Lytechinus pictus: one gene and its partners. The protein of the gene in region 3 interacts with the protein of the main gene of each other region in a pairwise test. Links are inferred from orthologs where the notes say so. Each region holds a gene or a part of one and is shown on either strand. Other genes may lie near its edges.

Region 1 (7,538 bases), on a different chromosome or scaffold from region 3:
CTTGTAGCTGAAGATGACATGAACCTTCTTGGTACCAGGTCCACAGATGTCAGGTCCTGTTTAATCAAAATCAAGAGATACATTCAATTAATTCATTCACTTTCCACATAAAAACACATCATGAAACTTCAAAATTCAATTGTTAAACATTAGTCATCATTAAAAACCAGATGCTTGACAAGGATAACCACGCATGCTAACAGATGGTAAGGATGCAGTAATGTTCTCTTATAACTCACTGCACATTAATGAGAACATCTTTGAGGAAAGTCACATTTGTTTCATTTATCTATGCAGTAAAAACAAATTGTGGTTTGAAACATAGTATTATGTGAAGAGTAGGTGCATTGTTCTAAACATTAATTAAGGAATTTTGTGTACTGCTCCATCCTTGAAATGCCCAGTAATTATTTTAGCAGCTGGGGAGTCAAGACATAGTAAAATTTCTGAATTCAACATTATTACCAACCAACTTCAACCAAACAATCTAGAAAATGAACATCATTGAGAATATACATGTGTAGCAGAAGAGGAAATGAGAGATAACCAAGGCCTAACCAACCTCCATCATTTCCACAACACTAACTGGGAATTAAATAATGGAATCCATGAGGAAGAATGAATTGTTCAGAAATAAATGACATTGCTTCTTTTGTCAGTTACCTAATATTTTTCTACAATTTGGTTTGACGCATTGCTTTTACGTTATTTCTCTCTGCGTGTTCCTCATGAACACAAGATTCAAGATTTTAAAAAAAAATTATGGGAAATGGTAAGAATGCTCTGTAGATTTTTTTTCAAAGAATCACAGAAAACATGAAAATATTAGATAACACAGCACAGTCTGATAAAAGCGAAGTCAGATTTCGCTTCCAAGTATGATTCCTGAAAAGTGGAGTTTCCTTCAACTGCACATCAAATTGATAACTGTAATCATCATAGCATACATGTATTTATTGTATTTTTTTTGTTTTTAATAAAAGTGGAGAAAAAAATAAAATGAATCGAAGAGAAATGTCCTTACCAAACATGATGTTGTAGGGAGAATCACCGTGCATATCTTTCTGTTCCAAGTCCGATGCAAAGAGTTTGACGTATCCACCACCACAATCAATCTTCTGCTCGTGCTTTACAGTGAACTGAATGACAAGATCCTTGCCCTCATTGCTGAACTCGTTCTCAAACTTTGCAGAGAGGCCATAGAACTTGGCATCCTGGCTAGTTTGGATACCTGTAAAGTTGAAGTCAAATCAAACAATACAGCATAGGATAAGATTCTTTACTTTTTGAGTGTAAAGTGATCAGGAAATTAGTTTAAAAGGAGGGGAAATATATTTTATAACAGATCTACTTTGTGTAAAATAAATAGATAGGCATGGATGGCAGCATCATATTTAGAAATCTGGAACTAGACACAAATACGTAAAATCAATATCTGACTGGTCCCAGCTAATTCAGTTCCTTCTTGTTACATTTTGTACACTCTGGCTTTTTTAAGGCCTCCCAGACCCTACCTACATTGCATGTTGCTTTCATTAAAATCTATACAATAGAACTGAAGATGTGTCAAGTACATTTTAGTTAAGAAAAGCCGATCTGAAAAAAAGATCAAGACGAAAGTCTTACCCTTATCTTTCTCAGCATCACCGTAGAATTTTCCCGCAGTCCACTTGAACTTGCCAGCATCACTGCCTTTGCTTGTGGATTCAACCCAACGAGACTCCCAATCTTCTGGAAGGTAAGAAACAAAAAAATTGTTTTGCAACTTGCATCAACTAGCAGTCCATGACTAAGCAGTTGGGAGTATAAAATGATCATTTGAAACATAGTATAGTAAGAAAGCACTGTCATCTTGTGAATATTTTTCACCGTATTGCGCAATGGCGTATGCAATGATGAACACTGCTTGCCACTGGCAACAAGAAAAGAGCAAAAACTCGCATCATGCCCAATTTGTAAACACTATTCTCTTACTAATGATAGGAGAACAACAGCAGTTACTGTAGTCTAGCATTTGATCACGGTGTGACTCAATTTCAATATTGTTGTTATAAATCAATATGAAAAGATAAGATTTAAGACCAATGCATTCACAACATATAGATTCCCTATTATACCAATATATTGGACTGAGTGATCTGCCCATTGAAACAGTGCAACTGTTTTCCATGATTAAAGCCAAGATGGTGGCAGAACCATTAAAAAATTTTCCTTGCAGTTCTGAAGTAAAACAAAACTTTTGGTTGAATTGTTAGGATTACAGAAGGTCCAGAATTCTGCCGCATGACTCGTGAAGCGTTCAGAGCTATTTGAGCATATCACTCCAGTTCTCAAGGAATTATACTGGCTGCCTGTTAGGCAAAAACTAAAATACAAAGATCTACTCTTGGTTTTATTAAGCTTCTAACAAACCACATGCCAGTGTATCAATCTTCTGGAGGTGAAGAGATAATGAAGACCTTGTCTTCAGGGAATGTTCACCAACTAAAGAAGTTTGAGTGAAGAGGTCCTTGGGCGACAGAACTGTTTATGTTGCAACCCCTCATTTATGGAATTCACTTCCAGTGAAAATCAAATCTTGCAAGTCACCAGAAGTCAGAACTCTCTTACAACAAATTAATGACTTTTTAATACCTTATGAAGTAAGCGTTTGCTTAACTCATACTGTTGTGGACTTGCTTGTTACTTTGACTTACAACTTGGTTACAGATAACTGATTGTGTAATTTTTCTTGTCAATTTGTTCAATTTCTATGTAGGGGATCTGGAAATTAGGGGATCAAATTTGCGATGCCCAGTTACGTGGTTACAAAATTACGCAACATTATGTAAGTGCATGTCAGACCCAAAATTGCTCAAAAACGTGAATTCATGTACAAATCCAATGCAAATTGTGTACTTAGCCAAAATTCATAAATGTATCACTTTTTCGACTTTTACTGATTATTTAAACTTAATTTTGTCTTGTTTATGATAAAAATTAGGTCTGCAGCAATTTCCATCGAAAAAAAAATTAAAAAAAATTGAAAAACAAAGAAAGACGTGTATAGTCAAAAGTTCATTAAACCCTACTTCAATCATCATTTAACATAGCCATATGATAGATCATTCATCATGATCATCATTCAACAACTTGAACAAGCACCAGTTTGGTTGACCGGGCCAGATCGGGGAGCAAGGAGTGGGATGGGCACCTACCGGTTCCGTAGGCGATAGCCGAACATGCAGGACCTGGCCCCAGGGGCAGGCCAGTAAGAACTTACCGTCGTCGAATCGTTCCTCAAAATATGTATCTGCATTCGTGTATGCAGCAAGCATCAAGCAAAAACATGCCAAAATTATCCTCATCTTGAAGCTATAACTTTAAACAAGTATGGAATACGTGTGCCACTGGGAAAGTACAGACAAAATCTGCACTATTTGATGGTGATTTGCAACCCTACGAGATGTTGTGGTGGTAGACGTACACGTGAAGTCTGCAGCCAAATGTCGAGCTGTGATTGGTCAACTAAGAAGGAGGGTCAAGTATTGGCCAATCACAGCGGACCACGCGGCGACGAACTTCGTGACCCAGATGCGGAAGTTACGAAGTCGTTTCTTCAATCCAATGAAATCGCTACAGCAAAAAATCATTGAGAAAGATGCTGCGTACATGTGGCAAACTTATGAATATAATTTGACAAGATTACTAGTATAGTATCTGCCCTTGTTTTCTTAGAGCAATATATTTGTTAACACTATATTCTACCATAATTATCGTAGTTTCCTTTGTTTTAATATTAATATTAAACATGTATGATAGCACATATTTTTCGGTATAGAGGGGTCTAAATAATGTCATGTTTTATGTAACGTTATTTGTTATGGACTCAAAAATTCGCTGTACTCTGGAGTTTGTTTGTTTTTGTTTTTAGGAGGAGCTTTTTTCAAGAATTTTCTGATTTTTTTTTATTCCTCCTAGTATATATGGAGGGAGTGGATGCCTCGCGGGATGCCTCGAAGCCAGTCTCAGCGAGATATACGCCCTTCTTTTGACCTTTGGACATATTGATTATAGGTGATGAATTTCATCATCTATTATGATATGCCCGTTTTTCAGTAAGGAATGAAGCCAAGAAAACTGATTCACAGATCAGTTGAATAAGCTATTTACTATAGAGAAAAATTGCCTTCTGAAAAAATGCCCGATTTGTGATTATGCTTCACTTCGCATGCACACAAACCCATGCATGCAAGCAGAAGGGATGCATATTTGGACAAAACAACAACTTTAGGAGTGCTGTTACCCGAAGACATGGGTGTCGATCCCATGGGGATAGAGGGTTATATAATAAAAATTATTATAATAATGATAATGATAATAATAGGCCTAATAATAAAATAACAATAGTATCATGATGATTGCTGCAGGGACTTGGGAACGATTTTTTCAGTGGGGGTGCTGAAATCTCTCCTCAAAGGTGAGGGGGGGGCAGACACAATTGAGTTTTCCATAATTACACACACATATATACATATATATATATATATATATATATATATATGTATATATATACATAAATATGACAGTCACTTCTTAGCTTTCTTCTTATAAAAGAACATAAATATATAATTAGACAATTTGAGCGCGACGCGCGAGCTATTTTTTGTGGAAATTTCATGTATTTTGTCCTGAAAATTGAACATTTTGAGCAATGTTTGTGGTCCAAGATGCGTATGTAACAAATAATCATTGTGAGCGCGATCAGCGCGAACAGATATTTTTTATATACGCTCTGGCCTGATCGAAAGGGACGTGTTATGGACTGTTTTGCAGTTACCCATGAAGACGCGTACATATATCAACAATCAAATAATGCGAGCGCGAAGTGCGAGCTTGAAAATTTGACATTCTGACCTAAATACTGGACATTCTAAGCACGTTTTGTAAATACGAACAGGTGATAGGTATATAACTATACAATTGATGCGAGCGCGAAGCGCGAGCGGAAACAAAATTGAGATTTCAGCCAAAAAAAACCGAGAGATTTGAAGCACTTTTCTAATCATAATGAGGATAGGTATAAAACTATACAATTGATGCGAGCGCGAAGCGCAAGCGGAAATAAAAAATTTGGGGGTGCTTCACCCCCAGCACCCCCACTTCGAAAAAGAAAACAGAAAAAGACTGAAATTTGATTTTTATTGTCTGACTTGCAATTTGTGTATACAATACACGGGCGGTCGGGCGCGCGCTCACTTGATTCGACATAAAACCTGGAAGTTTCAAGTCCAACCACCCCCATGTCCCTCCCTGCTATTGAAGAGTGTGTATGGTTATCACGTATTGCGCGCGACCACGTCTGTATCGGAGTGCTGCCCCGCTGGAGCTTGATTGAGTCGCGTTATAAGAGGGATGTTATTGGAATATGTGAAAGACTATATGTAAATGATTTGCGATTGTCGGATGTGATAATTATGTAGATTAAAACATATTTAAAAAAATACAGGGGGGAACCCGGTTTCGTGGGGGTGCTGCCTATGGAAAATAATACACGCAGGTGACGCAGCACCCCATGCACCCCCGCTTCCCAGGTCCCTGGATGGTTGGCACTTTACGCATGGTGATCATTGATGGTCGTTTTTTTTTTTTCTTCATTATTTTATGTTTACTGCTACGTATAAATTAAACCATTCCTTACGGAAACTAGATAAGTTGAGAAAGAACCAAATTCCAGGAGAAATCGAAAAAAAATGGCATTCTCTTTTTACTCCTCCCCGAAAGCGCATGGAATGTGCCCCTTTTAATTTTAACACCCGTTTGAATGTCCGACTTATTTTTGTTTTAAGTTTTCTTTCTTCGGGTTCATAATGTAAAATAAATGGAGTACATACAAAAGTAATGAGAATTTAAATTTAAAGGGAATTAAAGGGAAATGAAAACCGATACGAGTCATCAAAATGGTTAATTTTCTGGCAATTTTATCCAACTAAAATTAACTTCAGCTCACGCTTCGCGCTCGTCGAAGCTAACATAGCCTACTAAAAAAACACCATCGGTCTGATTAAGGACTAACCCCCCCCCCCCTGATGCACTGAGACGTGGGGCTTATAGAGCCTTGTACCCACTGACCAGTAGCGTACCGTGACTCGGAGGAGACAAAGCATTGGGGGGGGCAAAGCATTGTTCACAGACAATGCACTGCCCCCCCAATGCTTTGTCTCCTGCGGTTCACGGTACGCTACTGCCACTGACCAACCAAGAAAGAATAGAAAATGAAAAAAAAGTCCCATATAGTATAAACCTGTATGTCAAAATCTATCACAGATTTCTTTTGTATATATAAAAGTCAAAATTGTTCCTCTCTCACTCACTCACTCGCAGCTTTTTGGGAATAAATTTTACCTTTTATGCCATTTCTGGAACCCGTCAAATTTTGGGGCCATGGCCAAAAAAGTTTCACAACCAAGAAAGAAGGAGAAAATACTTAAAGATGGGAAAATAAAAGGGTGAATGACACATCTATCACAAAATTTGATTTTGTATCCAAAAGGTCAACATTTTTGCTCGTAGACAGGCTTTTAAAAAAATCTGCCCTTTTAATCATTACGCCATGTCTGGTCCCCAAAAATATTAGACGCCTAAAGCCAAAGACAGTTAAGACACCCCCCTCTTAAACTAAAAGGGGAAAAATCCCTTATAGAGTCCTGTGATAAAAAAACAATATTTATGTCAGTCCTTCCCAACTTGAACACCAATCGACACCCATAGCCCCTGGCAGGTTGATTAAATATCCTGTACTTTTGACTTTTTAAAGGCATAATTACAGTTTACTATATTATTATTGCTTATTCAGAAAGTTTATGTAAAAAAAAGCAAGTTTGGACATTTGAAGAAAAAAAATGCTATTTTCAAAAAAATTATTGCATTTTTTAATTGAATTGATTTTTTTATTGTTTGTATATTATGTACATGTTATTGTGAATAAAGATCAAGAGGATAAAAGAAAAAAGGGCATTATTATTATTATAGTCATGTAACTATAATAATCCCAATTATTGTCCCAATGTACATTTTTCTATGCTTTGTATGTTCAATGTTGTCACGTATTCATTGCAAATATCACTATACTCTCATACCCATAGAATATGTCTTTATGGAGTTTTATCTTATATCTTACCATATTCATTGAAATGATCCCCGTTGTTCATCATCATCATCATCATCATCATTATCATCATCATCATCATCATCAAGATTATATTACATGTATGAAGAGTGGAAAAATTGACAATATCCATGATATTGGTGATGATGATAATGGTGGTGGTGGTGGTGCATGGTGGCGGTGCATGATGATGATGGTTGTAGAGTGGTGTTGGTGGTTATGATAGTGGTGATGCTGGGTGGATGTGGTGGTGGTGGCGGCGATGGTGGTGATGAAGATGATGATTGAATTGAATTGCATTGAATTTGATTTTTTAAATACCAAATCTCACTGTCAGGTACAATTACTTGGAACATCACATATGAACAAAACATTTGGTAATTGGAGATAA
Region 2 (8,242 bases), on a different chromosome or scaffold from region 3:
TGCTGTCGCCAAGCGAAAGACAAAGAAATCAAGATGGCGACGTAAACACGGCCGTAAGCTCTTCCCGTCTTTTCATAACATTTTTCTCGTTTTTTTATGAATTCTTGTTTAAAAATGAAATCAATATTGTAGAAATGTCGGAAATGAAGTTGTACCCCATGTACACAATTTAGGGCTAGATCTTTTAGAGGGAAAGTAGAAATCTCGGGGGGCGAAAGTTTCAGGTTTTGGGACGGTATGTGTAGCTGTATGGGAAGCAATTCCAGGCTTCATGGGGAGTAAGCCTACGTATAGTAGACTGATTTTTACTCTCCAGGAGCCTCCAGGCTACATGTATGTACAAGGAGAACATTTTTTTTAATGTTAAAAAACTCGAAGCAGATGCAGGCCTCTCAATTAACTTTAATTTTTGGAAGTCAGCCGGGTACCCTGGACTGAACTTTAGGTGGTCAAATGGCAGTTTAGGTGGTCATCACATGCATATTGTATCATGACAAATTGTAAAGTGTATCAACTCTGTATGTGTAAGTTTGCTGCGAAACACTACATTACTGGTGGAACCTTTCTGTGGATTAAAAAGGACAAACTCAAGCCTTTGTTTCAAAGGAGATTTAAAAAATTACTCATGATCCTTTTCACACCTTTGTTTACTTGACACTTGTTCATTTTTAGACTTAAAGTTAGAGGTACGTTTTAAAATGAACAAGTGTCAATGAAATTTCCTGAAATAAAAGCATGATCATGGTTATGATAAATTTATTGTCAAAACATCACATCAAGTTAACAGTCGTTGCCACGGAAAAGTTGAAGTGCACTCACTCCATAAAGTGAATAAAGTGTGATAAAATATTATCAAACCAAGACTTGTTGTCATGATTTGGTCCGTCACATATGTAAACTATTTTTTTCCTTTTTTTACCCCCAATACTAAATGTACTTGGATGAGGCAAAACATAAACAAGTGATCATGATTGTCGATGTCCATTTCCCAACATCACAAAATGTGTCCTCAATCACCAAATTATACACAACAAGCTCACCACACGATGAATTTGATACTATAATGAAAGGACTTAACTTTTATTTCAAGTTCAATAGGCCGATCAATGAAAAAAAAAAAACTTAAATCAGCCGATGAATATCATGAATTGTAAAATACTTGAATTAGCCAATAAATATTTATGGGCTAATGCAAGTATTTTACAATTCACGATATTCATCGGCCAATTGAATTTTTTTTTTTTTTTAATTGGCACTGCTCATATCGTCGCCCTCTCTTATACGCGTCTTGTAACTAGGCTACGAACAAAGACGGAAATATGGCGTCAAGATCATCGGTGAGTATCTGCTCATCTTCTTACATGATTTTTCTTAATATTTGTATAATTATTCTTGAGAAAAAAAACGTTATGAGTGCCTAATGGGGGGAAATGAACTTCTTTTCCATTTACGAAATTGTGTGATAAGCAAGTTAAACAAATCAAGTATTTTGGAGCAACATTGTTGTCTCCAAATACTCTCCTTCGTGTGGGCCTATGCTCATGATGCTTTGCCATGCCAGGCTTCATAGGAGTAAGCCTACGTATAGTTAATAGTAGATCATAGATGACTTTTACTCCCCAGAAGCCTCCCTGGGCCTGTTGCATGACGAGATGAGCGATACGTAAGAATGTCCTAGGACCATTCTTCCGAGATAGGAAGATTGGCGACAAATCAGCGCTTTCCATTTCACGAAGGCAATTTTGTCTTTCAAGTCCACGACATCGTTTGATATCGATAGTATCGGAAAAATATTTAGTCTTCATCGTCACCTGAACCTTTTATTTCGGAATGACGACTTTTCATAAAATCATATATTTCAATAAAAGGGGATCAAATAATGTTTTATTTATTACTGATTGTAGAATTGATCTATGGAGCGTACTTTATGAGGTAAAAAGATAAATTTAAAAACTTTCAAGATTCACAAACATAACTGGATAAAATCGAAATTTTCATTATGTCCCTTATTTAGAACATGGTGACCTTTTAGAGACACCTTTCATTGATATTTCAACGAAAGAGACCCTTGTCTGACATAAAAATTGAGTTAACTAAGTAATTTCGACATTTTATTAGTTCAATATACTGATTTTTTATTGAATACATATATATAATGATGATTTTGCAAATTACGCGTTAATATATTATCTGTTGAGGTAGAAATAGGGTTTGAATGGAGTAAACAAAATCAAGTGTCTGATTGTATGAGACTAAAATGAAAAATATGAGAGGCTGCCTGGAAAAAAAAACGCGTTTTAAAACACACCGTTTAAAACGCGCCAACCCTGCTTGCCGTAAACGCATTTTCTCTTAATGCCGACAGTGGCGGGCGGTGTGCAAAGAAGATCATGCCTACGTAGGACATGTCTGGAGGTGTCTTTCCAAGGACCATTCTTCGTATCGCCCAAATCGGCTTCGTGAAACTTTGTGAAACAGTTGAGCGATATCTCGTTCTTACGTAGAATGGTTCTACGAAAGACCCTTTCATGCAACAGGCCCCCTGCTAAGCCCGGGCACTATTAGTATTACCTGACTTTTAGGGTGCCCGACGGAGCTTTAACGTTAGGCGGTCAATGGCCCCCAGACCGCGCCGCCACCAATTTCGAGCCCTGCCGATGGCTGCCAGCTGTCTAAGTTTTACTAAGTATAGTCTACCATTTTTTTTTTCAATCTGAAAATGAGTGCCCGAGCATGCCGAGGTTTCATCCAACTCCAAGAAAATCCTATTTCTTTCAAATCTTTACATGCTTTATGATCAATTTGGTACACTGACTTACTCATAATAATTTAAGGAACTCTTTATTATCTGAAAGATTTTGTGAAATTAAAAGAAATTCATGTTAAATATGACCTCAAATTGTTAGGCCTAACGAAATAACGTTAGGTCATGTAAGTAATGTGCGCAGACTTTTTGGCACCACCATTCATACAAAATTACAATTTCTTACAAAATGTCAATCTTTTCGTCTCGACTCGTCTTGATACTCACTGATTAATTACATAAAACTCACCATTTTGTGTCCTCACTGTATCTCCCGATGTCCTCTCCCCACTGACAGTCAACTGTTTTAGGGTAGACATGATATAAGCTTTATATTACCATTAATTAAACGACGAAAAAATTACTGTACTTCGGCAGTAGATCCAACGTTACCGGGTTCGTTTCCATGCACAATTTCGATTAGATGGGATCGATCTGCTGTACAATTTCCCATAGAGAAAATTATGCTCAAGCGATCGCGAGCATGCTTCTGTATTAATAATTGGTCGTTGATGGCGGTTTATAGCACATGAGCAACGTACTATAAATGATACTGATATCAAAGAAGTGCTCTTTCAAAAGCGTATTACTAGGTCAGCGTAAAATGGTGATTAATTTACCCTTTTTATGACTTGCCAGTCATCATCGTCATAAGATTATTTGATTAATACTATATGAGAAATATTTCAGGTGTTTTATTAACTTAATTTATGATAATTATCAAGTTAAAGCCGAGAGTGCCGAACTCATTTGAACCTCTTCAGTACTACATGGGAAACAGCTAGACTTTTGTATCTTTGAATGATCAGTCTTTGTAGACCTACTAGAATTTTCTATAATACTGTAATGATTGAGAAGAACTGTGAGTCAGTGTGAAAAGTTTTTAAAAAAATACATAAATTTGTGTTTTGAATTCAAAAGTAGGATTTTGTTACTGAGGTGGCAAGTTAATTCTTTGTTAAATCCTTAAAATATAAGAATAAATTTATTTTTACTTGTTTATTTTACAATTATGGTTATTATTTCATTATCATTATTATTGTTGTTATTATTATTATTATTATTATTATTGTTGTTGTTATTATCATCTTCATCATTATTATCATCATCATTTCATACACATGACACAACCTTTCTCTCTTGTATTTCTTCACACTCCCCTTAATTATTATTTTTTCTTTCTTTTTCGGTATCGCGTTGTCAATGGGGGGGGGGGTGTCTACTTCGGCCCCAACCCGGATCCACCTATGAAAACTACATTAACTCATTTAATTTCTCTCTTAAACAAGATATTGTTCCAGGTACAGGAATAATTTTATTCGGACACCAAGGGAAATAATTTAGGCGTATTAATTTCTACTTAAAAATTGTTGTGTATCTTGTTACACAAATATTACCTTGTAGGGGGCATATAAGCAACCTTTTCCCGCAGTTGGTGAAAGAACTTATAAAAGTTAATCAGGAAATATGAGTTTGTGGCTCCCGTTAGCGTGATACACATGGATCCTGAAAGTGCTTAGAGTCATTACCGGACGGAATGTAAAAAATATTCACCACTCGCGCTATACACTCGCATGTTTTTATTTGTGATATATGTATCATATACATTAGTAACTGCAAGCATTTACAGGTCCCTTTTCAGCTAGGTCAGTATATGAAGAAAAAAAACTTTAGTAAAATACACATCTTGTTCATGAATACAAAACTCCTCAGAATGATTAATTTCGGTCTAAATTCAAGGTAATAACTTGATCAAACGTGACTCTCGATGAATTTTAAATGATTTTTGTCTTCTTTCCACTCTCAATCCCCCCCCCCCCCCCTCTGCTTTTCATTCTCTTCTACCCTTTACATGTATGTTTGTACTGGGTTTGTCTTGGTACCGGTGCAAGACGCAATTCATTTTTATTTACTGAATATTTACTGAATTTGTTATCCGCTTTTATTAATTGATCAAATCTTATGTTATTAAGGGAGCTGTCTTGGCAAGACCTTTATGGTTTTTTACAGCTATACCTAATTTCAATACTTTTTCTATTCAATATGTATGTACATACCATTGAACTACTTTATTTTATCTTGAATTGCATTTTTTATCCAACAGTGTTGTTAAATGTTTTTAATATTGGAATTGAATAAAGTTGAACTGAACTGAATAATCAACAGTTTGAGCTCGCGCTTCGCGCATGCAATTATGTAGGCATTATGATGAGATATATTATGAGCTTAGGTCTACTTAAAACTTCCATCCTCATATGCCCCTAAAAATCAATAACAAAATTATTTTTTAATAGCTGCCGATCTTGGAAAATGTGGATTGCCTAAAAATTCCGTCTGGCCACCATTTGACAAAAATTGAACCAGCCCCTGCACATATTTTGTTATCTTCATGTATTCCTTTACGTATATTTCAATATTCTTTGTATCTAACTTTTTGAGAGGTCCACATTCTACAAGCTTTGCTTTTCAGTGGACCCCTCCATTCTTCTCATGATATATAATTATATTGATATAATTATATTTAATTATATTGATTATATTGATTTAAACTTGACATGCACGTTAATTTATATTTGAATCAATTATTGAATATGTATATCATTTATTCAATGTTGAATTTTGTTCATGCTTTTATTTAAATTGAATCAATTTATCTTGTACTTATTTGTATTATGTTGGAGAATGAAAAATAAATTGAATTGAATTGAATTGAATTATGCATGGAGCTAACAAACTCCAAGGTTTATGTATTCTATTTTTTAAAGTTCTCGTTAAGTGATAAAAAATATCTTTCGTAAGGAGCTAGGTTTTCCTGCAGTCACTTTTTTATTTAACAAACATAATTTAGTTCGTAATCATCGCCAGAATATATACGGTACCACATAGCGAGTTTTACAACTTAAAATTTCCCAAGTCTTCCAAACAATCAAACAGCTATTTAAAATGGTTTTGCTCAACTTATAGGCCACTAGTATACGAAACACAAAACTACTTCAGACACAAACTTATTTTTATCTCTTTGCACTTGGCATAGTTTGCACCCAAATGCACATTTTGACATAATAAGAAAGTACCATTTTGTGTGTCCGCAGTATAACTGACCGTGGGCAGATGGGACGTTTGGGAGAATGCCGTAAGTGATTATAGGCCTAGCCCTTTTGCATGTTTATACCTCGCCATGGAGGGTTGTTATGTACATTGTTACCAGGGTTCCGAACAAAATCATAAAGTACCAATTCAAAATTCGTTCCGACGGGCATGTACCCCCATATTTCAGTATCCATAAAAAAGGATAGGACATATTCATGGTGGCCGTAATTCAGTTGGACGATTTTGTGTGTGTGGGGGTGAGTGAGCGTGTGTGTGTGAGTGTGTGTGTCCCCCGGCCACCATACCAACCCCTCCACCGTCCACGGCTCCCTTTCCATCACCGTGGAAGGCGCCAAAATATCTTGGCGATATATAATAGTCATTATTCATGTTATTAGTCATTATTATGGTGAACTATAAAATTTTTTTCAAATGGTTGTTTTTATTTGCTTATCAACCGATCCGTGTCTTATGGTGAATGCTCATCTCTATATAATTAATCAACCATCCATAACAACAGGGAAGAATAGTGTGACAGCAAATATTGAATAAGTTCACCAGGGGCGGCGCCAGGATGGTTTGTACAAGGAGTAAGACGATCTATAAATGGCGTCATATTTTAACAGACGTAATCATGGTAATATATAGTTACACGGCTCAGACCTCTCATTCTTATCGGCCCCAACCATTTAAAAAGAAATTCTTCTCCTTTTCCTCCCTTTTTTCCCTAGAAAAATACAGGGGCGGTCGTCCCCATGCCTCCACCCTCACGCACGCACACAGGCACCGTGGCGCCACGACCTCTCAATTTCACATGTTTGGATTGAGCGTAACAGACATATCATTTGGGTGAATATATCTGCCCTGCTTAGACATTGCTTTACCATCAACAGCAGAACATCTGTGTTGATAATTGTCTCACTTGAAGAATATATATTTTTTTAATCGTCCACAATGATCCGGAGCACCAATATGTCTCTGGCAATAACTATTTTCCTCATGCTCTTTGCTCATGTAACTGGGAACGATGGCACACCCGATCCTACCAAATATTGCTTACCGCATGAATACAGGTCCACTCAAGGTGAGATAAAACATTGCCTAGCTTTATATATTTCTATGTGTTATAGTATGTTTTGTAACTAGTTCAAAGATAAGTACTTTCTATAATATTTCACATACTAAAAATGTTGATGTCCGATTGATGGAAAGTGAAATCACGTGCAGGGGCCGCGGAACGGTTTTCAAAGTGGAGGGCTGACCATGCTAAAAATCACAATCATATGGTCATTTTCACATTATTGTACACGGTTTTGGAAAAAAGTGGGGGGCTGAAGCCCCCCCCCCCCCCCCAGCCCCCCGGTTCCGCGGCCCCTGACGTGATTGATTGGCCATCAAACACTAAGCGATGTTCTGCTGTTAGCTGATCTCCCAGGTTATTCCACCTTTGATTAAAAAAAGTTATTACCCCGAGAATTGCAACGGACTTTATCCCTATAGGGATGTTTCACAAAGTTTAAGTGCGACTTTATGCAATCAATTGCGAATTTAATTTGTAAATTCAAAAGTGATAGATTGGTTTTAACTAAAACAACTTGATCCAAGAAGCACACTTGGCGTGCTTCTATAGGGCAAACTGCAAAATTGCAATTAATCAAAATACCTGTGCTTGATTGTAAATAGACCTTAGCTTACAATCGATTGTAAGTTTCTTTGTGAAACACTACCTGGGGTAAGCCGAAGCCCAAAATGAAAGTATACTACTCGTTCTACACGGTGGACTATATTTTATCTAAAATATAGCTAATTCCGATGAGGAATATAATTTATAAAGCAAGCTGCTGATCACTTGGATTCATCAGGGAATGTGGCGAGTATCACTTTCTCGGCGATATAATGTATAGCTGTCACTTTTCCTCTGCTTCGCTACGAAATATATTGTTTTAATATGATAACCATCTTCATTTTGGCAAAACATCGGAATTTTCTGTGGGGGGGGTGGTGTAATAACAAGTACATCTGAGGAATGAAAAATAATAACACGTAGTCGATGTACATTCCCTACTCCCTGCGGATTATTCCTTACTCGACTTATTTGATTTTTTTTTCCTCAGTTGGTGTTGAAGACATCATGATGGGAGGGAAGCCTGTGGGGGGCAAGCATCGTATCTTCTCTGCTGTGGACTTTGTCCATGATAAGTTCTACACCAACAAAACACTAACGACTCTCGATGCAAGTGGACAACCGAGAGTGGACGAAAGGCAAGATATCATCGACAGAGCAAATGTAGGTTCAGGGTATATTTTCTCTACGAAAGCCCACCTGACACTTTTTCGTTCTGGACCCGC
Region 3 (8,410 bases):
CATCGTGTTTAGATAAGAGAGTTTATGTTAGGGATATATATCGATCTAAGTAAGGCATTTGACACTTTAAATCATAAAATCATGTATGGCGTGCGGGGAATACCGCACGACTGGTTTGTTAATTATTTTTCTAATCGAAAAACAGTTTACAAGCTTTAAAGGAGTTAAATCTGAAACCATGCCTGTGACCTGTGGAATTGCACAAGGAAGCATAATTGGTCCCTTGCTCTTCCTAAATATATGTAAATGATACATTAATACTTCAAAAATATTACATTTCATTCTATATGCAGATGAAACTAACATATTTATTTCAATTTCTGATAAAACACAACTTCAAAATTATGCAAACACTGAATTAAAAAAGGTTTCTACTTGGTTCAAAGCAAATAAACTTTTTCTTAACACTGATAAGACCAAATACATGTTTTTTCTGTACTAATCACAGTTATCGATCTCAGTTAAATTTTTCAATAAAACTAGACAATGATGCAATAGACAGGGTAAATACTATAAACTTTTTAGGCGTACAGATAGATGACAAGCTCTCTTGGGTTAACCATATAGATAACATCCATGGAAAAGTTAGTATGTGCATTGGTATGTTATCTAAATTACATAATATGCTTCCACTTAAAGGTCAAGTCCACCTCGGAAAAATGTTGATTTGAATCAATAGACAAAAATCAAACAAGCACAATGCTGAAAATTTCATCAAAATCGGATGTAAAATAAGAAAGTTATGACATTTCAAAGTTTCGCTTATTTTTCACAAAATAGTTATATGAACGAGTCAGTTACATCCAAATGAGAGAGTTGATGATGTCACTGACTCACTACATGTATTTCTTGTTTTTTATTGTTTGAATTATACAATATTTCAATTTTTACGAATTTGACAATTAGGACCTCCTTGCCCTGAACCACAAAATGTTAAAATAATGGAATTCCACGTGTTCAGGGAGAAATGAAACTTCAATTCACATGACAGCGACGAGAAAATCAAAATATTTCATATAATGAAATACAAAAGAAATAGTGAGTGATGTCATCAGTTCCCTCATTTGCATACCGACCGAGATGTGCATATAACTGTTTTGTGAAATGAAGCAAAACTTTAAAATTTCAAAACTTTCTTATTTTACATCCGATTTTGATGAAATTTTCAGTGTTATGCTTGTTGGATTTTTTTTAAATTCAAATCAAGTATTTGTTGGGGTGGACTTGTCCTTTAAAACCCTCTTTGTATAATGCCATTGTCTTGCCCAATTTGGATTATTGCAGTCTTGTCTGGGGAGGAGCCAGCTCATGTCATTTAAGCAGATTGATTGTACTTCAAAAGAAAGCAATTCGTCTATGTTCTAACACGCATTATCTTGCCCATACTCCACCTCTATTTAAAAAATTCAACACTGCCAATTTGACTGATACTATAAAAATAAAGGCAGCACTCTTTATGTTTCGATATATGAATAACATGTTACCAGCTATATTAAATGAATATTTTCTTACAGTTGATAAAAACATTGTTAATACAAGACAGAGAAAGAATATATTTGTGCCATATTCACACTTAAAACTACTACAGACGAACTCTATTAAACACAAAGGGGCTCAATTTTGGAATAGTCTTGACCCACTACTTAAAAGAATGACCACCGTTACCTCATTTAAAGCTAAAATTAAACAGCCTCTTCTTGCCACTTACAAGTGATTCCTTTAAATTGAACCAAAACTAAACAAACAGTTATATGATATATTTTGTTTTGTCATGTATTGTAAATATTGTAACTTGTTTCATGTATTATTTCAATTGCTATTTCCTATGAATTTTATTCCTACTGTAATTTATTTGCTGTATTTGTGTCACTGTTACATGTATTTATCTGTCATAGATCCCCCTGCTTTTCAAGCCTCTGGCTTTCCTAGGGTGTTTGATCCTCACATTTTACAATGTATATATCTACTCATGTGATTTTTACCTAATAAATAAATTGAATTGAATCTATAAATTGTTCTTCAAAACGGCATTTTGTAACATAGCTAATCGAAGGTACGTTATAACGAAGCGGTTCAAGGGTCAGACCTGTGGGCCAGTCAAATATATTGCTGTACACACGCGTGAACAAAAAAACGTGTTTAAGGTGTATTTTTCAGTTTTGGACGAGGGCCGCGCGTGCACTCGTTTGAGGGTATCAAAAACACAGATTTTCAAGAAAAAGGGTGGTTTTGAAAGACTGGTCAATGGTCAATCGCGGGGTCAAATGTTTTTTCCCCAAAACTTTTTTTTTTAAGACTAGCCAAATGTGTTTAGGGTATGTTTTTTTCCCAAGCTTTTTCCCCGTGGTCATATTTTGGCGACAACTTGTTTAGGGGGTTATTTTGCACACAGAGAAAAAGTCGTTTAGGGGGTGTTTGGAAATTCCTTGGTCACGCGTGTGTATGGCAAGTTCCCCCAAGTCTGCGCAGTCCCCCTTGTCTGCGCACACGCGTATCTGCACGATTCCAGTAAAAGAAGATATGCAACGAGCACGAACTTTACACATGCAATACATAGACAGGTATTCATTAAAAAATCTGACTCAAAATGGTGGAAAAATAATGAATTTAGGCCTTTTTTTTTATTAGGGCATTTTATGTGACGGTCTCAAAATGCAGCCTTTCTCATCAAAATCCCCGAATCGTGTGCAAAGTGAATGAGTGCGCAGACATGGGGTAATATTTTTTTGCAATCTGAAAATGACTGACCAAGGTTTTTCTCAAGAAAATCCTATATTTTCTTTCATTTTTTAATGAGAAATTTGGTACACTTACTCTTGATAATATAAGGAACATTATTAACTGAAAGATTTTGTAAAATAAGAAGAAATTCATGTTAAATCTTAACTCAAAGACTTGGGGCCCACCATCATTCAACAATATATTTAACTGCCCCCCCCCCCCCCCCCCCCCCGGACCTTCTTAAAAGATGGATTTCCTAGGCTAGGGAAATCCATCTTTGTTTACAACTACAAGTGTCTCTTTACATATATGACAGGCGGTTCAAGGCTCAAAGATGAAGAAGTATATGTCAAAATGTTAAAAAATATCATCATGGTCCATGATGATATTTTTTAACATTTTGACATATGGAGTCCTCAACTTAGGCTACCTCCCCCAAGTTAATCTACAGTCCCACCTATTCGATTCTGGGCAGTCTCTGGCCACTAGACAGTAATTACCTCTCGATCTTTGAAGTGAATAGCTTTCAGAACCATGGCCACATTCCTTGCATTATCTACTCTCAATGATAGCACATGCTGCCCGTCTTCTTCACTTTGTTGGGTTGATATTAAGGACATTGCCAATCATATGCTGGAAGTATTAAGTGCAGGCCGAATCAATACTGTAAGTCTGTTATCTTTTGCAAAAATCAAGTTTACCGCGGGTCTGCTGCCCTCTTGTGCTTATATTGCATGATTTTTTTTTCACCGATTCAGAGAGCTCAGCTCCGAGTCCGCTGCCGATACCAAAAAAAATATTATTTTACTTTATCTAAGACTATTTTTATATTTATATAAAGTTGCCAAAGCAAACAAGCAAAAATAAATAAGTGAATAAATAATTACACCTATGACTGCATGACACTTACCAAATCATCAATGTCGTTGAATTAATTTTGGTTAGGATAGGTCTGCAGATTCAATTTCACTGAGTTGGACATATTTTCTACGTCGCATATCAATCACACCTGTAATATGATCAAATTTTCAGGATAGGCAGTTAACTTCCCCCCCCCCCCAAAAAAAATCCTTTTAGTAAGTTTTATTTCCACTTTTATTGAAGCAATAAATTGATTTTATTTCTTAACATATGCCATAAACATATTGTCCCTAAGCATATTCTTTCAGCACAGGGCCATCAACCCCATCAACCAGTCAGATAAACAGTAGACGTGTTGATATTGAACGTTCATGCCAAATCGCTTGTTTTCCCCCTTTTTTTCTCTCTGGAATGGCATGGGCCTTACCAAAGTTGCCTATTATTTCAAACAACCTTCTATTTTAGACTCGGTTTTAAGACCCTATAACTACCGAACTACTGAGTGAGTCAGAATAAAATTTTATACCTTTAAAAGTCCTTTATCGTAAACACATAGGCCCTATATATGCCAGGAAAGAGTATTTCTTCCTAAATATTTTGAAACGTTTTTATGTGATACATGCTTACACCTGGATAGACGGTCAGGAAGTATTTTGACGTGGGGTAAAATTTGATCTGTGGCAAAGTGAAAGCAATGAATGAATATAAAGTGTCAAGCTATAATCATATAAGAGATAAGAAAAAAATAGTTTGAAATTATCTTTTTCCCCCTTTTCACTGTTTAATTTTAACAAACACTTTTGGCATCTCTCTCTATACTTATGTCATCTTATTATTTTGCAAAAAGTTTACTTAACTCGTGCACGATTATCACATCAGATTCTGGATTCATTCATTTCATTCATGCTATACCTCGGCACAAATCAAATTTCACATCACAGCGAAGAAAATTATCCCAACATAATCATTTACCGCATAAAAGAAATCAAATTTTCAGAGGGAAGATCTGGGAGGGGGCGGGCAGTCAAATGTGTTGCTGTACACATGCGTGACCAAATTATTTTCAAACACCTCCTATAACAAGTTTTTCTTGGTGGGCATGGGACCCTAAACTTTATCCTGATCTTATTTAATGTTTATGAACATCTATTTTTTCCCTCAATGCAGAGGTCAGAGGGTAGTCCGTACGTAGCTGTAGAAAAAGAAAACAAAAAAAATTGTTGTTTAGTATCGACATAACGATGATTAGACCAAATGGTAATTAGACCAGGGGCCTGCAATATAAAAGAAAAACACAATCAATCTCAAACATGATTGACATCAATCATAAATCTATGGTAAACCATGTACTAAATTCTAAGAGTTACAATTTGATTGTATCTCTTCATATAACAGGCACCTAAGGGATATTAGACCAAATGACAATTAAACCAAGGACTTATTAGACTAAATGATGGTAGACCAAATGAGGTTAAACTGGGCAATGGATCAAAATCAATGTGTACACCACATCGGTATAAGACAAATTTGATTTTAAACCATTTGATGGTTTGACAAAATGGCAATTAGACCAAATGATTAACACCAAATGGTTATTAGACGAGATTCCATGTAGGCAATATCTAAAAACAAAATGATAACACCAAAGACCCCCACCCATCAATGCCAATAAAGGATGAACAAAAAAATGGAATTTTATATGAAAGTGAAATTTTATTAGGAATGTTCACATTGATTATTTTACATTGAAATAAAAGTAAAAGCCTTCAATAAACTATTTTAAAAATAACAATTGCAATTCAGTAGCTCAGAAACCACTAATTCCCATTGTGTAAATACATTTACACACAAACAGTGCTATAAATTTTGAATACTTATTGTATTCAATACAATTACATAGAACATGACAATTAAAAACATAGTGTAAAAAACAAAATCAACAGAAGTCACCATATTCATATTTATATACTATACTGACATCCCAAAATATACAAAGACAATCTCAATATGAACCTCACATAAATTATGAATGAAATGTATTGACTCGCCTGGAGCTTTCGATTTCTGAGTGTTTTCTTTTTTATTCCTAAGACTTTTGATTCATGTCCACTTGACTGAATTCCAACAGACTGAATGCAATAAGTACATGTAAGCACATATTCATGTCTGCTCCAGTGTCATGCCGTTACAGTATCATATCTTGTTTGATTGAATTGCTGTTTAGCTTTGGTTGGTGTATAATCTCTGATACTCTTGAGAAAGGAAGTAATCAGAGCCCGGGGGGGGGGGGGGGGGGGGGGGGCCACTTACATTGACGAGTGGATACCATGCGCGACCAAAAAAAACACGTAAAAAGGATGTCTTTTTTAATGATAGGGCACGTTAAGTACGTAACGTGATAAGGGTGTCAAAAACACAAAAATAATGAAAAAAGGGTATCTATTTCGCTAGGAAAGCTACGTGTTTAGGGTCAAATTTGCGGGGATGCTAAAAATATTTGAATGTTTTATAAAGGATGTCTTTTGTGCCCCAACATTACGTGTTTAGAGTCTGATTTGCACGAGGTGTGGAAGGTGGGGCCGTACTAAACCAAATGGTGTGTAAAGGTAAACCGATGACCGACGGACCCGTGACATAATAAAATATCGCTGTACTTTTTTAGGGGTTCATTTCAGGGAATACTTGCCAAGAGTATCGTTTTGTTTCCAATGCTTGTTAAGGGTAGGGTTTCAGACGCCAATACTCGTTAAGGGGTGCATTTTCAGAATATGGAAAATACGTGTTTAGGGTGCTTTTCGAGACCCCATGGTCGCGCATTGTATCCACTCGTCAATGGAAGTGGCCCCCCCGGGAATCAGAGGGAAATTGGTTAAAAAAAATCAGCTTTACTGGTCTTCGGTCTCGTTGACCTCTGGTCAATAGGTTAGACCACTGATGATCCATTGGTTAAATGCTAAAACATACATATATAAATGAACATAGGGTGCAGTGATGAAAAGCCTATCATCATAGCTGCTAGCAGCTGAACGAACAAGATGTGGAACTCGGGATAGGTACAGCATTTCCAGTAATGATATAAAAATTGCATTAAAAATACTCGAAAGTAGCAACACAAACTATAACACCCGTACAAAACTCATTTGAGGACAATTAACATGGCACAATGTTGAAATAAATGGTTATCATTATTCCTTTTGAAGCTGTGCTCCAAGAATTTGAAATCATTCTACAGATCACCTCTGTCTTCAGCATTTTGCATACATGAAAAAGGTGAGCCATAAACTACGCTTACACATAACATTAATAATCACAAAATAAATGTTATGTCATATCGTAAAATGTGCCATCCACATAACTATGGATAAAATTACCCTGGTTTAAGCACTAGTGTCCTTATATAGTGATACAAATTTTTATCAATATTCTGAAACATATCCAGAATAATTTGTTATAATAAAGATAACAATGCTAATAGCTATATTTATCAGGAAATATGCAAAGGTCAGCAGCTTGCAATGGTCTACTAGTACTATAAGGGTAGAATTGAATATCAGGAAGTGAGATGAAATGTATGTGTTGCTACTAGACCTGGTTCAGAACCAATTTTCAAACTGATTCAGCTAGTTCAGGATTTTAATAGAGCAAATATGAGCTCTCAAAGCGATCCAGAACATGAACATTTACCCAGAGATCATACACAAGAAATGCTTTTATATTGAAGGGGGAGATTAACATGTACAGTTCTGAATTACAAGAGTACCTAAGCAATGTGTTTCCATAGCAACATAGCTAAAGGTGTACCTCGTAAGGGTTCCATCTGGTCACTCTAGGAAAGTGACTAAACAAAGTATGTATTAAGTATGCCTTACAAGAGGTAATTAAAGCATTGACATAGCAACACATTTGATTCATGGCATAATCCATAAAATACATTATAGACCTATTTACTAATATTCTATTACACTAAGGTTTTCATTGTCAACTCTGAAGATTGCCCATCATAGCAACAAGTAATGTTTGCACACTGGATTCCTAGTATTCTGTTTTTCTGAAGGAAACACTTTAATATCAAGAAATGTTTTGAACCGAAAGTTTTGAGAGATGACTCATTTGTTGTGAGGTAAAATGATTTGGAACTGCATATATTCTGTTTTCATTGAAAGGACAAGTCAACTTATTTCAGGAATAGTGTATTGTACCCGAGAGGGTAGGAAATAGATCTTATTTTCAGGGGCCATTTTTTTCCACATTGGGGGCAATTTGCAGAATTTTGGGGGCTATTTCTTTCATTTGAATGGCTTTTTTAAGGGTAAAAAGTAATTGTGCAGTAAAAGCAAATGATTATTCTTCTGCCATTTAGAATAATGATTTTTCAAATAGTCTTAAATATTGTTTGGAACAGATATTGAGGCGACTCTAGAAAGAATAGTCGCCCCAAAGCATGCATTTGATTTGGGCTGTCATGAGGGCGAAAACCCCCTCGCCCTCATATTTCCTATGCTAAAATTTGTACCCCTTTATATTATGGTGTAAAGGGTAGACAAAGAAAAATCATTTGTAGCTGCTGTGTATTTATAATAATATTTTTCCTGGTACAGGTATTGTCTAAACTTCCTACCTATCAGTTTCCACATGTTTATGATTTGCTTGTTATGTTTCTGATTCTTGCCCAACCTCTTTGGTTTTGATTTCCTGTTGTGCATTGCAGCAGTAGCAATGTGTAGATATGGTATCTTTTGTGTTGATTGAATAGAAAAATCACGAACAAAGAAAAATGACTTAAACTTTATCCAAAACTAGGTATATTCAGAAGATCTGAATGCAATAC
Region 4 (8,533 bases), on a different chromosome or scaffold from region 3:
AAGCAATGTAACCATGAAGAATGTCGGCATAGAACTAAGCAACTGTTGCGAGCGTGAACTGATTTAAAAAAAATTATTTTACAACCTAAAATTTGACACTTTCAACACTTTTTGCAATCATGAACATGATGGTTATTTAATCAAACTTATATTTGAAATCGGACATTCCATGTAGTTTTTATATATAATCATGAAAAGGAAGGGTATCACTGAATGATGCGAACGCGAAGCGCGAGCTGAAAATTTTGCATATTTTCACGTGAAAACTAAATATTTTTATATGTTTTTACATTAAAACAAACTCAGTTTCTGCATCTGTAATCGAACAAGCTGTGTATCTCAATAAACATTAATCCGAGCGCGAAGCGCGAGCTATTTTTTAAATTTTTATATTTGACTTGAAAACTAAACGTTTTTACATGATTCTATATCAAAACAAACTCGGTTTCTGCATCGGTAATTGAACAACATGTGCATCTCATTAAACACAATGCCAGTGCGAAGCGCAAGTTGAAAATTTTGGGATATTTTGACTTGAAAACTAAATATTTTCCATTTTTGTACAGGTTGATTTAATTTGAAACAAACTCAGTTTCTGCATCTGTAATTGAACAAGATGTGTATCTCAATAAACATAATGCGAGCGCGAAGCGCGAGCTGAAATTCCGATTTACCATCTCGAAAGGGAACATTTTAAGCACTGTCCAACATGAAGGAGAATGGTTCCCTGTCGGTACCGAAGTATGAAATGACAACTCTTGATACTTTGACCTGAAAACTGAACTTTTTCACAATTTTTATAAGAACAAACTTAACTTCCGCATATGCAATTGAACAAGCTGTGTATCTCAATGCGAGCGCGAAGCACGAGTGGAAATTTTCGATATTCTGAGGGAAATTTAGGTAACATTTTCACTAAAAATATGATGCGAGCGCGAAGCGCGAGCTGATTTTTTTAAATATTTAGACTTTAAACCGGGACATTCTTATCACTGTCGGTACAGAAGGGCGAGTTGAGAACTATTGATGTTTTGACTTGAAAACTTAACTTTTTCACACGTTTTTTTAATATAAAGAACAATCTAAGATATGCATATTCAATTAAACAATCTGTGTATCTTAATGCGAGCGCGAAGCGCGAGCGGAAATTATTTGATATTCTGAGGGAATTTTAAACAACATTTTCAGCAAAATTTTAATAAATATATGATGCGAGGGCGAAGCGCGAGCTGAATTTTTGAGATGTAGATCTTAAACCGAGACTTTCTAATCAGTATTGGTAGCCTATACAGCGAGCTCCCCACGATCACAATGCGAAAAAAATCTTTCTTTCTTTCTTTCTTTCCTTCCTTCGTTCCTTCCTTCCTTTTCCCCTTTTTTTTCTCTTTTTCCCTTTTCCTTTCCTCTTTCTCCCTTCTTTTTTCCCCTTTAGTCGCTCCTTTTTTTTTCATTTTTCCCGACGATATCCAAATAGTCCGCGACCGAAAAGATAGTACATGCCTTGATTTCTGTAATGTCCTTTTGTTTAATTTACCGCAGGCTCAGTTATATAAGCTTCAGAATGCAGCTGCTCGCCACTTTGTCAAGTAAACGCTCTCATATCAATCCCATCTTGTATTCGCTGCACTGGCTCCCTATTAAAAATCGGATTATCTTTAAGATTTTGTTGCTTGCTTTTCATAGTATTCTTGGATCAGCACAACACAGTCTTTCATTTATCAATTACTACAGACCAAGCAGGTCTTTGCGCTCATCCACTTCTGGCTTCCTTGTCATTCCAAAAGTTTCAAAAACTTGGGGGGAAAGATCATTTGCTTTTGTGGAATAGCCTTCCTGAAGACACTAAAAAATGTACCTCTGTCGAAGCTTTCAAAAATCTTCTAAAAACTTTTTTATTTAAATATTAGCTCTTTATGCGCCTTGAGCACTCTACAGAGTGGATTTGGTGCTTTATAAGCCACATTATTATTAAATTAGTGGGGGGGGGGGGTGTCGCCCCCGGTCCTCACCCCCTTTTTAGCGACGGTCCTGCCCTGATCGTACATGTGAATATTTTCATGGACATCTTCATGGATTTCTCCAAGAATCAAGTTCCCTAGCTATTAGTCAAGAAAAATACATAAATGTTTATAGGTTGTTGCCCTTATCATAATATCCTGGTACTAAGTAATACTGTATAGTGCCATTGTTTTGGGTTTCGGTGAAAAGTGCATAGATACAGGCTATATCTTAATCCAAATCAATAAAACAAGAAAGTCACTACTAAATGTAATTGCCATTTTAAAAGAAACTCTTCCCAATATCAACCTCATGTTTATACTTAGACAGCTGGCAGCCGTCTGTTTCGAGGAGTTTTTTAACATTTTATTTTTTTTCATTTCTCTGAGTGGAGCCAACGGAGTTTAGCGGAACGACCAACATAACAGAGACCGAAGCTTTTGGTCTAGGATATACTATGAGTATAAATGAAACCATTTATGATTTGCTATTTTCAAATCACGATAGACTTTTTTTTTTCATTCGTTAACTTCCTCCGTTCGATCTCGCTGTTGGTCGCTAGCTAGCTAGACAGGGTACGCTATCGATATCGCTAGCTAAGCTAGATCAATTTGTCGCATCACACCATAGAGATGTATACTAGTAACGCTAGAGGGCGTACTTCGTCAAATCGCTGTGATTACGTGGAGACCGTCCGCCATTGCTCGATAGGTATTCGCAGCCTGCCATGCGCGTACAGTACCTATGGGGCATGTACACGGATGAGCACAGAACATGACAAATTGATGACATATGAGCACGAAAGCATATGGAAAAGCAAAATTGTAAATATTGCACTGGATTAAAGTTCAAATACAACAAAAATCTAGCAAAACTGAGGTCAAAAGGCCTATATAGGCCTATCTATAGCGCATAATATAGGCCGATACAGCTATAATACAGGCAAACGATTTAAAGTCCCAATTGTTTTTGCTTAGGTAAAATTTCGATACATTAATATGACTTCTATTTTCTAATGATTTGGAAGAGATGAATATCAAAAATAACATTTAGGCCTAGGTCCTGATATATAAATTTAATGTGTTTTAATATGATTTGATGTACATTAACCTAAGAAAATTCATAGGCCATATCACAGTGTCTGATGCATCTGAGACGCTGTATCGAAAAAAAAACCACGATTGTATTTTTATAGTTCATAGTTTCCTAATTACTATTATGCTGATTGCTGATAATTTATTTCTTCACTTTAGATAATTGTTATAATTCATTTTCCATATATATATCTACACAATAGGGCCTATAATAACTCGATCCCTTTTCCCCATGTCTTACACGCTGATGTAAACCAACATCACAAAAACTCGCGAATCATAAAATGACTTTTTATTGATATTTGGAAATGATTTACGCATTGATTCAGTTAAAAATTGATGATTTAGATTTCCTTTGCTGGCAACCATCCCATCATATTTATAAATATGTATATAAAAGTATACTTTCTTACTTGCGATCAATGTATAGAAAAGTTTGTTGACAGCAAAATTTGCATATCAAATGCGCGCATGCAGTCGTACAATTTTGCAATGTACAGGAGGCCTAATGGGGGGTTGGATGTTTATGTACAGTGTTATTGCCTTGCAAACATTTTAAAACTTCGGAGAGTAAACAAATCACAATGCGCAAAACAATTTTACTTTGATTTTCTGGAAAGTATAGACTTGATTCTCCCCGGCTGAAAATATGCTGATCGGCAAACTGGCTGAAATATTTTGTTTATCGCCGTTGTTTCTGATCCTATAATGATTGGACCAATATCATGTGAACAAATCAAGGATAGAATAATAAGGAGAGGAAGAAGGGGGAGAAGGAGAGAAGAAAAGGGGCGGGATTATGATATATAATTTGTATTATACTATAAAGAATATTATTACTACTGCAAGAGTGTATAAAACTAATATCATGAAAGACATCAATGCAAACTTATCATAATTATGAAAACGGTTGCAAAATTGTGAGTACTAAAACCAAACATAATTATGAAACAATAATATTGCAAAAGTGACAATACTTGGAATAAGATATTAAAGATCCTAATTTAATCTCAAATTTGATACCTGCCTTGAAATTGTGTTAATTAACTGTGTCTGTGTCGCTTGAATAAATGAACTTTATGGCAAATATTTGTAAGCACTGGCACCGGCCTAACATATAAACAGATAAACACGCGTTTTGAATATCCAGTTTTGTTTTTCATTTTAAAAGTATAACTGAATTTGATTTTCTAGTTTTCTTCCTTTAATGTCATTTGCTGGCCTATGGACCTGAGTTTGGTTATTCGATCAGTTTTTTTTTAAATAAGATTTCCATGGATGAACAAAATTATTATATTATGTTACGGCGTCGCGGAATGATTTTGAAAGTGATGGGGTGTATAAAATCACAATCATTTATTATGTGTAATGTTCATTTTCATTTCAGGGAGGGGTCCGGTCGCGCCCCCTGTATTTTATTTTGATCAGTATGTTAAAGCGAATTTGCTTAGGTGTGTTTGTTATTTTAATTGCACACACGGCCCCTAAAAAGCGAATTAAAACAAATCTAACTTAAAGTGAAGGGAATTAAAACTGTCATTTTTGAAAAGTTTGAACAAATTAGGCTATATTCTCGACATTTTAAATCAATATTTTATTTTCGGGCCATATAGGCCTGCAGATTTTGGGGAATTTATTATGTTCCTATAAGAACAAAATCAGCACGTTCACCAAATAACACGAATTTCAACATTGATGGTGTAACGGGAGGCTCACCAAGAACAATAATGAGATGCCCTTTAATAGCGCATGTAGATCAAAACACTAACTTATACAGAATTATTGTACAACTTAATATATAAAAATGATAGGCCTATATTTCATACAAATTGAAGCAAGTTACATATCATGTAGGCCTATATAGAAATTACAAAATTATATCCAACATAAACATAGAATCAAAGGACGTATATGTGGGAAGGATGGAAGGAGGACGATGCAGTTAAAGGTAGGGAAATCCAGAGAAGGGCTAATTCACTGCAGTCTTTTGAATTAATTGTCAATCTTTCTATTAATGTCCGCTGTATGTTTTTATTTTTATATGATTGTTTATATGATAGTATATCAACATTGTTATCTATTACAGGCCTATAAACGGACAGGTAAATGCAAATTATTTAGAATTTCATCCCGAGAAATCAGGTTTTTAAAATGCCAAATTAATAGCATAATCCCCATGTAATCACTCTAATAGTGTATTGAGATGCAATTTGTCATTCATATTTTCGATTTTTATGAGGTTGTATTCTTTTCTTCAAGATAAAGGCCGGAGACGGCACCCCTTTTCACAGCGTTACAACGCACGAGCTATGGGTACATCCGGGTACTTTTGCGAATCTATACCTATCGAGCAATGGCCGCCACGCTCCACACAATCACAGACGTTAAGTACGCGCGCCTATGGCGACTCCGCACTCTAGCGTAGTTAGTATACATCTCTATGCATCACACAGATACATGATCACGACCGTGTTCTCTCTTACTTATTGAGCTGGAAAGGAAAGATAAATAATAACGATGTCTGTGAATCAAATTGAGATCATAGAAATAGACAAATGGATCGAAGAGAATAAGAAGTTTTTTCTCCCACCTGTGTGCAACAAGATGATGTAAGTGAATAGGCTCAATCGGTCTGCAAAAATGAGGGCAAGCCCCTACCGGCTACCGGTACGGTACGGTTATTAAACCCAGGGAGCTCCCGCCCGCGCAGCGGGCGGGAGCCCAGGAGCTTACCGTGTATTTGACCATAGGCATAGTCACCGGACTAGGGTGATTTATGGTCTAAATATTTCTCCAAATGAATTGTGAAAACAGAAAGTATACAATAACCACGATTATATGGATGAAGGTCTAACGAGTGGCAGTTTCCTGACATCTGGGCACAGACTGGAACCTCAAAAAAACGAAAACTTAAAGTTCTCTCCTCTACCCCAGTCCCGACCCCAGTCTCGATCGGCCATTTTGTTATGATAATTGATATGATTCATAACAAAAATTGCCGATTTAGACTGGGGTAGAAGGAGAGAACTTTTCGTTTTTTTGAGGTTCCAGTCTGTGCCTCGATGTCAGGAAACTGCCACTCGTTAGACCTTCATCCATATAATCGTAGTAAGTGCATAATTTCTGTTTTCACAATTCATTTGGACTTGGAGAAATATTTAGACCATAAATCACGCTAGTCCCGTGAGTATGGTCAAATACACGGTAAGCCCCTGGGCTCCCGCCCGCACAGCGGGCGGGAGATCCCTGGGTTAGATATAACCTTGACTTGTTCTCAGTTATATGTTAGGGCCTATAGTATAGTATATTTATATTATAATCTTGTGACTTTTGTGTGGCAAAAAAGGGTGGCAATGTTTGGCTTATTTTCACTTTTTCTTTGGGACAAATGCTTCATTTTTTTTACACTGACAGTTTCCATTACACCTATTCGTCATACAACTTGGCTCTTAAGTAAATTTGATTCTTTAAATTATTATTTTCTTAATTAAAAATAGAGATAAAAAAATGACAATTTTCTTGCCATATTACTTTCCACCAATAGAGGGCGTACACAAAAATATGCCCAAAAATCAAGTTTTTGAGCGCTCTGGTGAATACAAAAATTATTCCCAAGTTACTAATGAAAAATAAATTGCAACTGTATGAAAATTAGTAATTTTGGTTACAAAAGTGATATTTTAATGATTTTTTAAAGCGTGTGCTCTGTACAACATTGGCATACCATAGTCTGTCTAGACCAAAAGCTTTAGTCTCTGTATTTTGGTTGTTCCGCTGAACTGCGTTGGCTCAATCGCCAATACATAGACTGAAGAGCTTGGAGGCCCGTACGTACAGACAACGTATTAGCAGTAACGTTAGTTCTAACTTACTCTAGCATTCGGCGAAAACCCGATATTCCGATCGTTTTTTGTACATAAAATGTCACATTATGAAAAAGAAATCACATCCATATTTACGAAAAAATGTTTAAAATTCAGAAATATTGTACCTTAGACCGCAGTTACCGCTAATTCCTTTAAAATGATGATCGAAACATCGTCATCTTCGATCCTTTCGTTGGTCAACGTAAGTTGCCATCTTGGACGACGTCATCATCCTTACAGACGTATTTACCAGTCGCTATATATCGAGATTTGTGCCGCTGCTTTGCGCTTGTAGATGTGCCTTGATCGCATTGATTGGCCAGGATATAGAAAATTTAATCGGAAAGCCTTGATAAAAGCACAACTCGTTGAACGTAAAGGACAACAATGCACGGCTGCCATTTTTTCCTTTCCGGCAGAAAATTTAAAAAAAAGGAATAACGGGGGAATAACTCATCGGTAACGTATATTTTCGACATTTTTGTTGAATTTACATAGTATCAAAAGAAAGATTAAAGTCTAACGAAAATAGTGGGCCTTCGTTCAAGATAATATAATGTCATTTAGAATCTAAAAAAAATTAAAATGCAGGCTCGCACTAACACACTACCGTCGGTGAATGGGGACTACAGTAAAATGTCAGAAATTGTTGAATAAATCCCCGGAAACGACGGTTATTCCTGTCTAACCCTAGTCCTACCTGTAGATTCCCCACAGGCAGGATGGTTGCAGTGAACAAGTGGGCAGTATCCTGACATCGAGGCACAGACTGGAACCTAAAAAAAAACGAAGTTCTGTCGCGGTAGCTCTTCTTTCAGAATTCATATAGTCTAGTTCTAGACGATTTTAAACGAATCTATTTGCACCACGATATAATATGTTCTATTCCGTGCGTACGCCCAGCCGAGTGTGCGCGCAAAACCGAGAACCTGTACTCCGAGGAAAAATCGTCTAGACCAGTTGCTCTGCGGTGACGTCAGAGGTCAAAGGTCAACGGACGAGTGCTTCATAAATATGCATGAGTTACTTGTCAATCTCGCCGCGCCGAACAACAGTGCAACGTTGTTTACGTTTTGCACGTGTTATCAGCTGTGTGCATGCATTGTACACATGGGATTGATGTAATACTCAGTAGATCTATGTGATATGAATACATGTACACGTATCATACGAAAGTTTGAGATAGTTCATTATTTTTAAGGCTACAAATAGACATTTCATTGTTGGGAAATTACTGTAACATGCATAGGCCTATAGTTATTTCACTCAATGTGCATATCTTGGTTAAATCTGTGGGTATGATGTATACCATCATGATATATGAAAGAAGGTGCTAATGTACCAAATTTCAAACTTCAAAACAATACAGACTAGTTTTTCCACTTTATTCAGATGGAATAATTAATATATACAAGTTTGAATGATATATTTTATATTCTTCTTCATCTACACATGTAATTACATAGAGGTAATTTGTCTTAGTATGGGTATTGAAAATTAAGACTCATAAATGTAAACTCTCATTCTTGTGAATGGATCACATCACGGTACATTTTACTGTGGGCACTTGTAAAT

The links.
Region 1: the proteins of cell cycle checkpoint protein RAD1-like (region 3) and calreticulin-like interact in a two-hybrid assay, tested with the Caenorhabditis elegans proteins (2 studies listed by BioGRID). The link is inferred for Lytechinus pictus from reciprocal best matches to the Caenorhabditis elegans genes mrt-2 and crt-1.
Region 2: the proteins of cell cycle checkpoint protein RAD1-like (region 3) and T-complex protein 1 subunit alpha-like interact in a two-hybrid assay, tested with the Caenorhabditis elegans proteins (2 studies listed by BioGRID). The link is inferred for Lytechinus pictus from reciprocal best matches to the Caenorhabditis elegans genes mrt-2 and cct-1.
Region 4: the proteins of cell cycle checkpoint protein RAD1-like (region 3) and 3-hydroxyanthranilate 3,4-dioxygenase-like interact in a two-hybrid assay, tested with the Caenorhabditis elegans proteins (2 studies listed by BioGRID). The link is inferred for Lytechinus pictus from reciprocal best matches to the Caenorhabditis elegans genes mrt-2 and haao-1.

The regions. Positions count from the first base shown.
Region 1 is NC_087255.1:31,562,653-31,570,190, reverse strand, and holds the start of calreticulin-like, read right to left. Parts: upstream 3,523-7,538; 5' UTR 3,348-3,522; coding exon 3,263-3,347; intron 1,732-3,262; coding exon 1,627-1,731; intron 1,232-1,626; coding exon 1,025-1,231; intron 57-1,024; coding exon 1-56. UniProt on the Caenorhabditis elegans protein: Molecular calcium-binding chaperone promoting folding, oligomeric assembly and quality control in the endoplasmic reticulum (ER) via the calreticulin/calnexin cycle.
Region 2 is NC_087249.1:18,797,110-18,805,351, forward strand, and holds the start of T-complex protein 1 subunit alpha-like, read right to left. Parts: upstream 3,356-8,242; 5' UTR 3,124-3,355; coding exon 3,054-3,123; intron 1-3,053. Other genes in the region: uncharacterized protein LOC135154109, read left to right, coding at 6,848-6,977, 8,008-8,180. UniProt on the Caenorhabditis elegans protein: Molecular chaperone; assists the folding of proteins upon ATP hydrolysis. Known to play a role, in vitro, in the folding of actin and tubulin.
Region 3 is NC_087246.1:3,921,964-3,930,373, forward strand, and holds the start of cell cycle checkpoint protein RAD1-like, read right to left. Parts: upstream 3,449-8,410; 5' UTR 3,342-3,448; coding exon 3,222-3,341; intron 1-3,221. UniProt on the Caenorhabditis elegans protein: May be a component of the 9-1-1 cell-cycle checkpoint response complex that plays a major role in DNA repair. Promotes DNA double strand break-induced cell cycle arrest and apoptosis, thereby playing a role in genome stability.
Region 4 is NC_087251.1:11,570,900-11,579,432, forward strand, and holds the start of 3-hydroxyanthranilate 3,4-dioxygenase-like, read left to right. Parts: upstream 1-5,463; 5' UTR 5,464-5,701; intron 5,702-8,533. UniProt on the Caenorhabditis elegans protein: Catalyzes the oxidative ring opening of 3-hydroxyanthranilate to 2-amino-3-carboxymuconate semialdehyde, which spontaneously cyclizes to quinolinate.